Arabidopsis thaliana: one gene and its partners. The protein of the gene in region 1 interacts with the protein of each later gene in a pairwise test. Each region holds a gene or a part of one and is shown in the gene's direction. Other genes may lie near its edges. The genes, in order: ABIL1, GRL and SCAR2.

Evidence for each region.
Region 2: the proteins of ABIL1 (region 1) and GRL interact in a two-hybrid assay, tested with the Arabidopsis thaliana proteins (one study listed by BioGRID).
Region 3: the proteins of ABIL1 (region 1) and SCAR2 interact in a two-hybrid assay, tested with the Arabidopsis thaliana proteins (one study listed by BioGRID).

What each region holds. Positions count from the first base shown.
Region 1 is NC_003071.7:18,979,997-18,984,411, forward strand, and holds ABIL1 (ABI-1-like 1), read left to right. Parts: upstream 1-1,921; 5' UTR 1,922-2,116; coding exon 2,117-2,209; intron 2,210-2,227; exon of another isoform or gene 2,228-2,632; coding exon 2,633-2,715; intron 2,716-2,795; coding exon 2,796-2,946; intron 2,947-3,037; coding exon 3,038-3,137; intron 3,138-3,220; coding exon 3,221-3,491; intron 3,492-3,559; coding exon 3,560-3,612; intron 3,613-3,709; coding exon 3,710-3,792; intron 3,793-3,922; coding exon 3,923-4,078; 3' UTR 4,079-4,296; downstream 4,297-4,415. Other genes in the region: AT2G46220 (DUF2358 family protein (DUF2358)), read left to right, coding at 174-561. UniProt on the Arabidopsis thaliana protein: Involved in regulation of actin and microtubule organization. Part of a WAVE complex that activates the Arp2/3 complex.
Region 2 is NC_003071.7:14,801,455-14,805,869, reverse strand, and holds the start of GRL (transcription activator), read left to right. Parts: upstream 1-2,019; 5' UTR 2,020-2,110; intron 2,111-2,325; 5' UTR 2,326-2,344; coding exon 2,345-2,746; intron 2,747-2,839; coding exon 2,840-2,914; intron 2,915-3,294; coding exon 3,295-3,375; intron 3,376-3,582; coding exon 3,583-3,663; intron 3,664-3,777; coding exon 3,778-3,860; intron 3,861-3,955; coding exon 3,956-4,040; intron 4,041-4,126; coding exon 4,127-4,252; intron 4,253-4,386; coding exon 4,387-4,415. UniProt on the Arabidopsis thaliana protein: Involved in regulation of actin and microtubule organization. Part of a WAVE complex that activates the Arp2/3 complex.
Region 3 is NC_003071.7:16,093,172-16,097,586, forward strand, and holds the start of SCAR2 (SCAR homolog 2), read left to right. Parts: upstream 1-2,063; 5' UTR 2,064-2,378; coding exon 2,379-2,533; intron 2,534-2,711; coding exon 2,712-2,875; intron 2,876-2,958; coding exon 2,959-3,082; intron 3,083-3,170; coding exon 3,171-3,300; intron 3,301-3,485; coding exon 3,486-3,547; intron 3,548-3,669; coding exon 3,670-4,415. Other genes in the region: AT2G38430 (uncharacterized protein), read right to left, coding at 1-225, 320-427, 595-675, 760-916, 1,002-1,170, 1,339-1,639.

The sequences.
Region 1 (4,415 bases):
GATGAAGATTCTCGATTTAAATTGAACTGCTCTTTGATTAGCTTTCTCAAAGAATCTTTTTGCTTCAGAGTCATGCTTATATCCCAAATTTGATCTGTTCTTGGTTAGGTTTCTTAGAGAATGATCTGTTTTATCAGTTGGTGATTAGCTCTTTCTCTTGTCTAATTTCGCAGGGATGATATTGTTTTCAAAGACCCTATGAACACTTTCATGGGAATTGATAACTACAAATCCATATTTGGGGCCTTACGTTTCCATGGAAGGATCTTCTTCAGAGCACTATGTGTGGACATTGTTAGTGTTTGGCAACCCACAGAGAACACTCTGATGATACGATGGACTGTTCATGGAATTCCTCGTGGTCCGTGGGAGACTCGTGGTCGATTCGATGGTACTTCTGAGTATAAATTCGATAAGAATGGCAAGATTTATGAGCATAAAGTCGATAACATAGCCATTAATTCGCCTCCAAAGTTTCAAATGCTCACTGTTCAAGAGCTTGTTGAAGCCATTAGCTGCCCTTCGACTCCCAAGCCGACCTACTTTGAGTTCGGAGATTGATTCATCATCATCGTCTGAAACATCATGCTGGTGTTATGTATACTAGTAGTCTTTTGTGTGGTTATAAATAGAGTGGTACTGTAATATAGATGAAGAAGGAACGATTTAAAATAAACCCAATAGCATGAATACATTACACGCTTTTTTTGCGTATAATAATCAATAAAACGCCTATATGTACATAAATTTGTAAAATAACAGTATAGCATCATGATACATAAATATGTTGACTTTGATTACTATTATATTTTGATTCAAAAATATTGACAAGTCACTGCAACTCCATGAGGCACCGAAACTAGTAAGCCTGGTTGTGGAACTTGGTCCACGAAGTCGTGTTGACGGTAGATGTCAAAAAGAGTTGACAAGGCAGTTAAGCAAGGTGTGAAGAAGTTGAATTTCAAGACTAAATGTAAGTACAACCATAGCTACTTTGAACATTTCTTGCCTTTACCGCAATCTCCTCAAGCGACTGAGCTACAGGCTTGAAATTAAATTCGAGCAACTCGTACATTTGTGTATATCCATACTTTGACAAAAGCTTTTTATTTATAGAATATGATTTATACAGCCTACATTTGTGTATATCCATAATTTAATCTTAAAAAAAACGCATATTTTTCTAAATAGAAATTCGAATTATATAACATGAAGACAACATTGGCACAAACCAAAGAAAAAAACTTGTTTGGTCATTTACGGCTGTCTTTTAATTCACCTGAACAGAATCATTGAAAGCAAATGGCAAAAATGATTTGTAAGACTAAAGTTGGGGCCAATGATTTTTGCCCAGTAAAACCATGATGGACCCATGGGCCTTTGCACGTGCAGGTCCGTTTTGACAGCTAGTCCACACGTGTGGATCTCATGTGAATGAAGCTGGCTTAATGCTGACGTGTCCGCCAGCGTTACTTTTTCATGCAACTTGCCGGAGTCAATTATAAAATCCAGTTGACCGGTCCTTTTGGCAAGGCTAGTTCCGTCATTTCAAATCCTATAGATCCACCTCCGTTTACTTTAAATGCTTGCATAGAATCTAACCACAAACACATAAATAATTTAATGTGTTATCAACAACCGCAATTAAAGCAGCATATACAAAGACATGTGATTTTTTTTACGGGAGTATTTTTAATGTATACTCGACAAAAATATTAAGTTAATGTCCTTTCAAATTATGCTGTATTAATTTTGTAATTCAGAGGTATCTTATAGTATGATCAAATTATTAATTAATCTTGTTTTTTTATGTGTTCATAATAACTTATTTAAGAGAATTATATTCAAAAAAAAAAAAAACATAGTGCGTCTTTCCCAAAGTCGTTTTCTTCTATACACCTTTTTTAATAACTCTGGAAGCAAAAATGGCATAAGAGTCCTTTGGATTTGGAATCGCTTCTACTTCACTCTCACCTTCCTCCTATTCTCTCTCTCTTTCTATGTCAAGTTAGCTTAGCCGTCTCACCAGAAAGCTAACCTTACCTCACAAACATTGATTGTGTTACACTAATCTCTTAAATAGAGAGCCGTAATTTCTACACACTCTGATCGCTAGATGGAAACGGAGATATCAGGAATGGATAATCCAGCTATGACCTTGGACGAGGTTTCCATGGAACGCAACAAGAGCTTCGTTAAGGCATTGCAGGTTCCTTATTATCTATCTCTCTGTTACTAGTTCTTCCTTGTCCACATTTTTTTGTTGGTTCTGATCAGTTAGATTCTGTAGAAATTAAGAGCTATGATCACAATAAACTTGGTTTAGTTGAGGCAGATCCATGATCTCGTTGTAGGCTAGGCTAATATACATGTTGGTAAAAACTTTAAAAGTCTTGTTGGCTGTAAATTTTGTGGATTAAGTTTATTGATGGGACCAAGATGATGATTGTCGGTTAGTGTGTTACTACTGTCTTCAAGATTTGAATCTGGTTCTCTTGGAATTATCAAGACAGACTATGGCATGACTTAGCTACCTAGAGACGACGACTCAAGAATCTTCTGATTTGTTTGTTGGTTTTGTTTGGCTTATTACAAATGTTATTTTTACTTTGGCCTTTATTGTATGTAACAGGAGCTCAAGAACTTGAGGCCTCAACTTTATTCAGCTGCTGATTACTGTGAAAAGTCTTATCTTCATAGCGAGCAAAAGCAAATGTAAGTAACCTCCTTAATTTTACTCTACTAGTAGCTTTGAATGACATTTCTTCTCTTTACATTATTACCTTTCTGTTTAGGGTATTGGACAATTTGAAAGACTACACTGTGAAGGCTCTAGTTAATGCTGTTGATCACCTTGGAACTGTAGCTTCCAAGCTTACTGATCTTTTTGATCACCAAAATTCAGACATATCAACTATGGAAATGAGAGCTTCTTGTGTTAGCCAGGTAACTAAACTCTCTCACACACTTCTCTATTTATTTATCTTACCTTTTCTAGGCAATCTCCCTTAAGGTTTGTGTATGTTCTTTTCATCAGCAACTGCTTACATGCCGGACATATATCGACAAAGAAGGTCTTAGACAGCAACAGCTATTAGCAGTTATCCCATTGCATCACAAGCATTACATTCTTCCCAGTAAGAGTTTTTCTTGTCCCTTGTTAAGATTCTGTTAGTTTACTAGTGAAATCTGATTTCTTTTTTCTCTCGACTGTTGTTAGATTCTGTTAACAAGCGGGTACACTTTAGTCCTCTCAGACGAACTGACACAAGACAGAATCATTACCAAGCTATATCCCGTCTTCAACCTTCAGGTGCAATGTCCTCATCTTTGAGCTTATTAGTTAATAATACAAGCAGTCAAATATCAAACAGTTTAAGTAATATGCTTGGTTTGACTCACTTAGATGCCCCTGCATCGAAATCACTCTCCTGGCATTTAGGCTCAGAGACCAAGTCTACCCTCAAAGGAACATCCACAGTTGCACCAAGGTGAGTTCACAAAAAGCTTTAGTACTGCTTCTCACGTTCTTGATAACTAATACATATTTACTGTGCAGCTCCAAAGATTCAAAAGCTTTCTCAAAGACATCTGGAGTGTTCCATCTCTTAGGTACGAGAAACAGGGAGTCGGGGAAGTATCAAACATAGCATTTCTTCTTAGACAACTCTTGCCAAGAGATTGATGATATACATTGAAACTCATGCAGGTGATGATGAAAACATAGCAAACAAGAAGCCTTTGGCTGGTTCTCAGGTCTCAGGTGTTCCTGCTGCATCCACTGCCCATAAGGTAAAAAAATTTAGAACACATGAAACTAATCTTTCATGAATCGGGCAGTTCATGTAGAAAAATGCAACTGGATTAGTAAGCTGTGTATTTGTAATCATGGTTTTGATGAGACAAGTTTGTGATTCAACAGGATTTGGAGGTTCCGAAACTTCTAACTGCACACAGGTCACTTGATAACAACCCGCGACGAGAGATCATTCAAGCTCCTGTCCGGACAAAGAGTGTTCTTTCTGCGTTCTTTGTTAAACAGAAAACTCCAAAGCTCAAAGCTGGCTATGTCTCGTGAAAACACCAACTCTTTGTACTGAGAAGGAAATTTCAATCTCATACCACGTTTCTTTTACCTTATATAATAACATGTTGATTTTCATGTAATTATCTTAATCACCACATCAACGTACGAAGTCCAGTAAGACATGATTTTGGTCTATCATTAACAAAACTGTGTAATAGATTAAGAATGTGTTTTTAGAATGTAAAAGCTTAATAAAGATTTCTGTTGAGTTATTAATTAACATTGTATCAAATTAACAACAGAGAAACCAACATAGAGAACAAAATGGCTCACAACATAGCCATTCCAACTCAGTTGATTCAGCGCGTAAACCGATACCAACTCAGGC
Region 2 (4,415 bases), 4.2 Mb from region 1:
CAACACAGATTGTTGTTTTCTCAATCGAGGATCAAAACGAGATTTCTCCATCTTTGTCCCTTGGACTGAAAATTCCCATCTCTCGTTCTCCTTTTTTCTTTTCATGTTTTTCTTTTAATGAAATGAAATTGTTTGAATAATGGTAGAGAATAATGAGCTTTGGCGTTGAAATTGATTGGATCTTTCATGGAGTTATGCCTTTTTCTTCTTAACTGCAAAAAGTTTCGGACAGTACATCTTCGTGGACCGAAAACCATAACCCTTAGCGGGTTGAACTAGTGCTTAGTGCTTAGCAAGCTCCAACTCCTTTGGAGGGACCAAATCAAATGCTACTGGACCACCATCCATCTATTTATAAACAATTGTACACCGGATTGGTAATGTTCATACTATATAAGATAACATGTTGACAAGAAAAATGCTTCTCTTCAGATGGACCTTACCTCCGTAGGTCTAGGCACGGCAGCAACTACACTTGTAGACTCTTGAATTAATTTGGAGTTCAGTAAAATAACTGCCCAGTCCTGAGATGAAGAAATTGGAATCCAAGATAATAGCCGAGTACAAAGAAGAAGCTAATGGAAGATTCATGCGAATAAAGAATATAGGTTCGGTCATATTGTAGCAACCGTGTGAAAACCGTTTTTTTGTTATTTTCTGGTTCATAGGGACCTCAAAAGATAATGTGAAAGGAAACAAAATCTGTGATGCAATGATATGTGCACAGAGGGAAAAGATTTTGGAATCATTGTTGCTTATTGTGAAGGCCAAGCTTGTTTAGCCACAGTTGTCCAACAAAGTTACAAGATGTGCCTTGTAATACAATATTCCTGCGTTGTCAACCCTACTTTATTATATGAAGTTGTTTTTGTGTGTCATGGTTTCCACTAATTTACTTATTAATTTGATTGTTTGATTGTTTTCTATTAGTAAAAAAGTAATATCAACATTATGATTAAATTCTCAAATCAAATAATTATGTTGAAAAGATGAAATGCTTGGATAGCACTGAGCTTTGGACACGCAACAAAAAGTGAGGGAGGGGCAAATTCATCATCAGAAACGTCAGAAACATTATTTATTAGTCGAATCATACTAAAGTTTAACACAGTAATTCTAAAATAATTGACAATTATTACACCTAAAAGCTACTCCATATGTAGAGATAATGATAATTATATACTACAAGTTAGTATTTGTCGACGTCAATATTGTTCTCTTGGTTAATTGTTTTTAAATATTAAAAATTACCGGTTAAGGGACTTGTTCTCATTTTGTCAAAGCTTCGAAAACTTACATTTCAACCACCCAACTAGAACGTTTGTTCTTTTTCTAACAGAAATTTTCCTTTTAAATACTAAAAATAGTACTTACTACATAATATACCAAATACTTTTTTCTATTTTAGCTATCCTCATTATTGAAATAGATGTCGTAGATTTGAATTTACCTTCTGTTAATGTACATATGATAAAAGAACATTGGTTTGTTATGCTAAAATCTCAATAGTTGGAGCTAATCCTATAGTTTTGCTAAAAAAAACTTGTAATCCAAATAACTACAATCAAACCAAAACAACACATGATTTGAAATATCATTTTTTCTAGTGAAAAAATGTTGTCTTGCACTGCTCAAATTCAAGTAGACAATTCCGATTCAATATAACTAAAAATCTCATATTTTATTAAAATTTTATAAACAATTTATTTTTTGAAAGGGATAAACACTTTCAGCTGTTCAATTGTTCATAATTTTCTTCTACTTACATTGTTTCGTTTCCTATGGAAATGTTTAGATTTACAGGTAAAAAGTAAAAAATGTGCTTGAGCAAGAAAAGAGTAAAAAAAAATAAAAAAATCTGCATTTTAGTTGAAAACGAAAGAAATTCTACTGACTAATTTTGTCTTAAATGAGAGAGACCCGAATTTAGCAACTCTTTATTTCTCGGCTCACACACTCCGATTAAGCCCGACGCTCTCTCTCCTCTTTGTCGTCGTCATCATCGTCTCCGGAGTAGGTTGCAGAAATTCAGATCTGAACTCTCAGACGAAGCTCCGATCTTACTGAGACATTTTTGCTCGATTTGACTTTCGCCTTTAAAGCTTCTCAGGTAACTTTCAATCTTCACGAGACTCTTGCTTGACTTGGTTTTAGCTCCTTGTTTGGTTGCTGGGAAATTGACGAGGGGATATCTATTCTCACTCGTCACTCGTTGTTGAGTATTACTGGGTTTTTGGAAGATGAATGCAAGAGTAGAGAGCTAAGTAAATTATGTTGGACGAGATTGTGTAACGTGATTTTGAAATACATTTTCCTTTATTGTAGAGATTATTGTACTGAATTAATGGCGAATTCTCGTCAATATTATCCATCTCAAGATGAATCAATGTCCCCGACTTCTGTGAGATCAAGGGAATGGGAAGGTCCTTCCAGATGGACTGAGTACTTGGGACCTGAAATGGCTGCATCAGTGTCTTCTACTAGGAGCTCTAAGCAAATTGATGGACATGTTGGTGGTTCCACAAAGGCTTTGAACATACAATGGGTAGTTCAAATGATTGAGGTTGCTGACGGTCTCATGGCTAAAATGTATAGACTGAATCAAATCTTGGAGTATCCTGATCCTGTTGGCCATGTATTCTCTGAAGCATTTTGGAAAGCGGGTGTCTTCCCTAACCATCCACGGATATGCACTTTGCTCTCTAAAAAGTTCCCTGAGCATTTCAGCAAATTGCAACTTGAACGTGTAAGTCATGAGTTCTTTTTTTATTAGACTTACTGTTTGATTTGTTGATCTGATGGTAAATGAAAAAAGATTTATTCTGCAATACTTATGCAGATTGATAAGTTTTCACTGGATAGCTTGCATGATGGTGCTGAACTTCACTTACAGAGCTTAGAGCCATGGATACAGGTAATAAGAAACTATCTATGTAATATGTTGTTGGGTTTACGTTCTGTTGTTGTGAAACTTGTTGTTCGAGAATGGTGAAGCATCTCGGAAGTCCTACATGCTATATAGTCAATCTTTCTATTAGTTTTCTTTGTGTACCTAGTCAATCTTCAATCTTCAGTCTGCTATATAGTCAATATTCAATCTTCTATTCCATCTCACCATTAGTCAGCTTTATATATCTGGGCATGCATATATGATTTACCTAATACATGGTTTTAACTTTTAAAATGTAAACGAGTAGTTATTTGCTAGCCTTCTTTCCTTAGTTCGTGTGTAGCATTTCAGTAAGGGGTGCCTTCATAGTCCTCTCGTCATGCATTTTTCTTTTCTTGAATCAGCTGCTGCTCGACTTGATGGCATTTCGAGAACAGGCACTGCGGCTTATATTGGACCTAAGCAGCACTGTAATTACCTTGCTGGTGAGTCAAAGTCTCTCATCTGCGGAAAGTATTTACTTGCTCTGGGTTGAAACTTTGAGCTTTCTTTTGAACTCGTACCTTAGGTGGAGGTCATGAAATGTTTTGGTACATTAAGTTATTATTTACTTGTCAAAAATGTCTGTGAGGATGAAGATAAAATTGTTGAGTATTCATGATTAGCTCATAACTTAGTTCAGCTTTTTGCAGCCTCATCAGAACTCACTTATTCTGCATGCATTCATGGATCTCTTTTGTGCATTTGTCCGAGTCAATCTCTTCGCAGAGAAGGTATGCTGAGCTTGTTCCTTTTCTTAGTTCTTTGTTTATTTGGATTGATTACACATGTCATGTGAGACATTACATTATTATCAATATGTAAGAGTGTTTATTTTATCAAAGTAGATTCCTAGGAAAATGTTGTTGCAAGTCTACAACCTTCTGCATGCGCTATCAAGAAATGATCGAGACTGTGACTTTTATCACCGGTATGGATGTTTTTTTCCTTGTAGTATCATTTTTAATTTGTATATAATCAATAGACTCTGATATCATATATTAACACTCCTCGTCTTGCATCCAGCTTGGTGCAATTCATAGACTCTTATGATCCCCCATTGAAAGGCTTACAAGAAGATTTGAATTTTGTCAGCCCAAGGATTGGAGAGGTTAATATTTTATTCAAATCACGGGTATCCTACGAGCTAATATTGCAACTGATACAGCAGTACTAACAACGTTACTATTTTCCTAGGTCCTGGAGGCTGTAGGACCCAGTATTTTTCTATCTGCAGATACGAGGAAGTTGAGAAATGAGGGATTTTTAAGCCCATATCATCCTAGATTCCCAGATATACTTACAAATTCTGCTCATCCCATGGTACGAACGGCTAGATTATTATCAACATAAAAGCTTAGGATTCTCAGAATTAGTAGGATGCTATTGTCTTTCCCTTACAACTCTACTTCGATGTATAGTGCTAATATTAGATAATACACTCTTGGTTCCTACAGAGAGCGCAAGATCTTGCAAATGTTACTTC
Region 3 (4,415 bases), 2.9 Mb from region 1:
CTTGGTTTCCCCTGTTCCAGTCGTCTCATTGAATCTATCAGTCTCTCTTACCCTAAGCCTTAGAGTTTTATTTTTGTAGATAGTAGCTCTAACGTGACAAACTTCAAATTCTTTGTATCCATCTTCAGATAAAGCTTTACCAAACGGCCACCTTAAACCGCCTTTTACATTTGGATCAACAGTTGCTGATTCCAATAGCGCTTTAATGTCACCTATCTCTTTATCCTGCCGATCAAAGAAAGATCACACAACCTAAGTCTAAGAAGAGCATATTATTTATCCATATATTGTAAAATATATATACCAAACTTGAACTTACACTGAGATACGTTATTTCCCTCTTAGCGGTGAGCGTTAGTCTCATGTCGAGATTCTTATCAATGCATGACACATCAACAACCAAATGCCTTACAGGATTAAGGTCGACCTATATAAAAGCAAAACTCAAGATTCAAAGTTAGATATTAAAGGAAGACCAAGTAAAAATGTGACATCTATCAAATTCTTGTTTGTTTTTCTTGCTAGTCCGAGAACAATAAAGAAGAGATTTTACTATTGGTTGTAGTCACTACACACATAAAACTCGAGACTTGCCTTGTACATACTGAGCCGTCCATCTTCCTTACGGGTACATTTACAGTTGATGGTTGCATTAGGACGAGAATAATGCGATACCTAAAAATAGAAGCCAAACCCAAATTAGCACATTCAAATGACATTCGAAGTATAGATCTAAATCTAAGAAAATGAAACGAGTACCTTCACAGTGTATGTTTCCTTCTCCTTATCAATAGAGAATCCATGGCTTGGTACAACATTAGATTTTATGTGTTGTAAGTAAGACATTGGGAGATCAGTAGAGAACATCTTATTCAAGTTTTTTAGTGAACATTCAGCCACAGGACCAGCTTGACTCCTGGTTTAAAGTTGTATATGTTAGAAAAAATATAAACCCATTCCTGAAAACAGCAAAATGTGAGATCAGACGGTGAATCGCTTACCCATAGAAGAAAATTTTACCAAACCGAGCAACCAGTCTCGATACATGATGATGCTCCTTCATTTCAGTCTTAACTCGCTCATATGCCAACACAAGATCCTCCATAACCTTCTCAGCTACTAATAGCCACTGAGTTCTCTCATCCTTCCTCTCTCCAATATTCATATTCACTGAATATAAACATATAAAAAACCATACTCAACATAGATACAATGCATCTTCTTTTGGCAAAAACGATAATAGCACAAACAAAATAGTTAATAGTATTGTTTATTTCAGCATCTAGATGATATTCATTTTGTCAAACACATAGCCAAAGTCTACTAATAGTTTCTTACCATTTTGGACATTGTTGTTCATCAGTATTGAAGGCTTTTCTCCTTTTCTACACTCGACAGAATCTGAGGACAAGGGCACAAACTTAACATACGAAGGAACATCGTCCTCAATTCCATTTGAACCAACAAGAAACCATTTGGAAATGGAATCTCCTGAATAGATAATCTTGTTGCGTTTAACACTGCTAGTGCTACTCTTAAAGTCAAGGTTCTTCTTGAATTTTGTAACAAGAGAATCTGGAACAGGGGTAGGCTTTGTCGGATCCTTCGAATGCCTCTTATGTGGTGGAATATAAGACATGTCTAAACCTGAAACTCACAACAACATCAACCAAAAACGATTTCAAGATAAAACAAAAAAATCTCAAACTTGGAGCTCAAATAAGAATTGCTTTACAACGAGCGAAGAAGAATATAAAGACAGAAACTTTAAGGTGAGAAGAGAGAAGTCGAATCATACCTGTAGGCTGTAGTCGAAACTCAACGTCTTTTAATATTCCTGCAGAGAAGTAACAGTGACACTCAAATAGACTCTTCGCTCCCTTTTTAATCTTTCAATTAACTCTCATCCGTTTCTCAAAAATGACTTTAATTAGATTGTGTTTGGTTTCGATAGGGATCACAATTGGACAAACCTCAAGCCTGAAACTATCAGGTTCCCGAGGGGTTTGGTCTTAAATGCAGGTTTTATTGCAACAAGGTTTTGGTTTTGTAAGAATTTTTCACTAAAAGTAACAATTTTTTAAGTATTTCTGGCTATCGAAAAATAGAAAAAGAAATGTTTTCTTAAAAAGTCTTTTAGCGTTGAGGTTCTCAGACTCTCTCTCTCTCTCTTTGCCCCTACCTATATCCGCCGTCTTGAATCCACAGAAAGTCCGTTTTAGTTTCCAGCTAAGTGATGTCGTCACATATCTAATGGTGGTCGGTCACTACTTAAATGAAGACAGAGAAGCTTTTCTAGTCTTCTTCTTTCTAAAGTTCTTACCTTTAGAATTTGAACAAAAGTATCAGCGAGCTGATCAGACAGAGAAGCTCAAACAATGCCGTTGACGAGGTACCAATCTCGTAACGAGTATGGATTAGCAGATCCGGATCTGTATCAAGCTGCTGATAAAGATGACCCTGAAGCTCTGCTTGAAGGAGTCGCTATGGCTGGTCTCGTTGGCATTTTGCGTCAACTCGGTGATCTCGCTGAGTAAGTTTCTCTCCAATCGAAATTTCTCTAATTGATCTCTAAGCGCATCGAATTCGAAGTTTTGGAATCCGTTGTTGTAAAGCGACAATTTTGATGAATCTGGATTTGGTTGTGGAAGTGGAAAAAGTTTTGATTTTTTGATGGAATTGTCTTTAAATTCATGTAATTTGTGATGAAGGTTTGCTGCTGAGATGTTTCATGACTTGCACGAAGAAGTAATGGCTACTGCTTCTAGAAGCCATGGTTTAATGGCTCGTGTGCAACAGTTGGAAGCAGAGTTTCCTTCTATAGAGAAGGCATTACTGTGTCAAACCGATCATTCGCCGTTTTTCTCTAACAAAGGTTAGATTGCTATGAACATTCATGATCTGGTCAGCTACTATGATGTTGGATTATTTCAACATGATTCTGTGACTCTATTTCAGGTGTGGAATGGCATCCGAATCTACAATTGGAACAGAGTGTGGTTACAAGTGGTGACTTACCTCGTTGTGTGATGGATTCTTATGAGGAATGTCGAGGTCCTCCAAGGCTATTTCTTCTGGACAAGTATGATTTAGCCTTGTTTGATAGGACTTCTTCTTTAGTCGTTTGTTAGAGAAGGATATATGTAACATCTTCTGATGGTTTTGATTAGGTTTGATATTTCCGGAGCTGGGGCTTGTTTGAAACGCTACACCGATCCATCGTTTGTTAGGCTTGAAACGTCTTCATATGAAGAATCATGGGATGATATTCAGAGAGAGAAAAAATCACAGAAAGCAAAGGTACTAGCTTCTTAGTTCAGGTTGTAGCTTATGGGTTGCAGTGTGATCCTTCTTGGTTATATTTTGGTTTCCATTACATGGTAGATTTTCTGAATAGTAGATTTTCTTATGCTCATGGTGTTTTGAATGTGTAATCTTACCTTCCATTTTGTGATTCTCATAGTTTTCCTTCTATTCTCTTGTAGAGGAGAGCATCTCAGTGGAGGAATGGAGGGACACCTGAAAATGCATTATCATCACATGCCAAGTGAGTATTATCTATTTTATGTCTTGTGTGTTTGTCATTTCTGTTATGATATATATGTAGTTCCTATATTGGTATCTGACTGTGACTAAAAATGGCTGGTTTCAATTATTCAACTGGCACAGATTGCATGAATTGTTTTTGGAGGAGCATTTAGAGGCTCATCATTCAGATCCAGCGCGCGTTGTGAAGTTGAAAACCAGAAAGCTAGATGGGTGTTCCCTTATTTCAAAATCAGGGGAAAGCTACATGGAGAAATTTGTGCAGACACGTGTAGATAGTAAGATAAGTTATGAAATAATTACCCAAAACCCCGGATTGTTGACATGGAATATGGATAGTGCTAGAGATGTAGTAACCGATATACCTGAAATCAGTATGGTGGGTGCTATGGATAAGTCTCATGGAGGAAGCAGAGCAGAGGTTTCATTCCCAAGTGAGCAGGAAAATGTGGCAAATGTTAACATGAATGGGGGTTTTATTGAAAAAGATATAGAGACAGTGCCTGAATCTACATACAATGAGGTCCGTGGAACAACTATTACACAGGATTCACAAACGGTTTTGAACGGGAAGCCAGGATTTTTTCAACAGAGGAGTTATTCTGAAGATTTAACCAGTGAGGCTGACAATTATGTGGACGCACCAGCCACCATGGAGTCGGAAACAGAAACAGACGATGAGTGTAGACCTAAGAGTAGATCAGATACTTTGAAGGATGGGAACCATCATATATATTCTGATGCGGTTGAAGAGAGAATGGAGGACCCACCTCAGTTTTCATTTTCTCATTCAAATGGAAACACACCAGTTTCGGAAAATGGGCGAAGCTCGTTTGGGAAAAAGAGCACTAGTTATTCTTACTCGGACA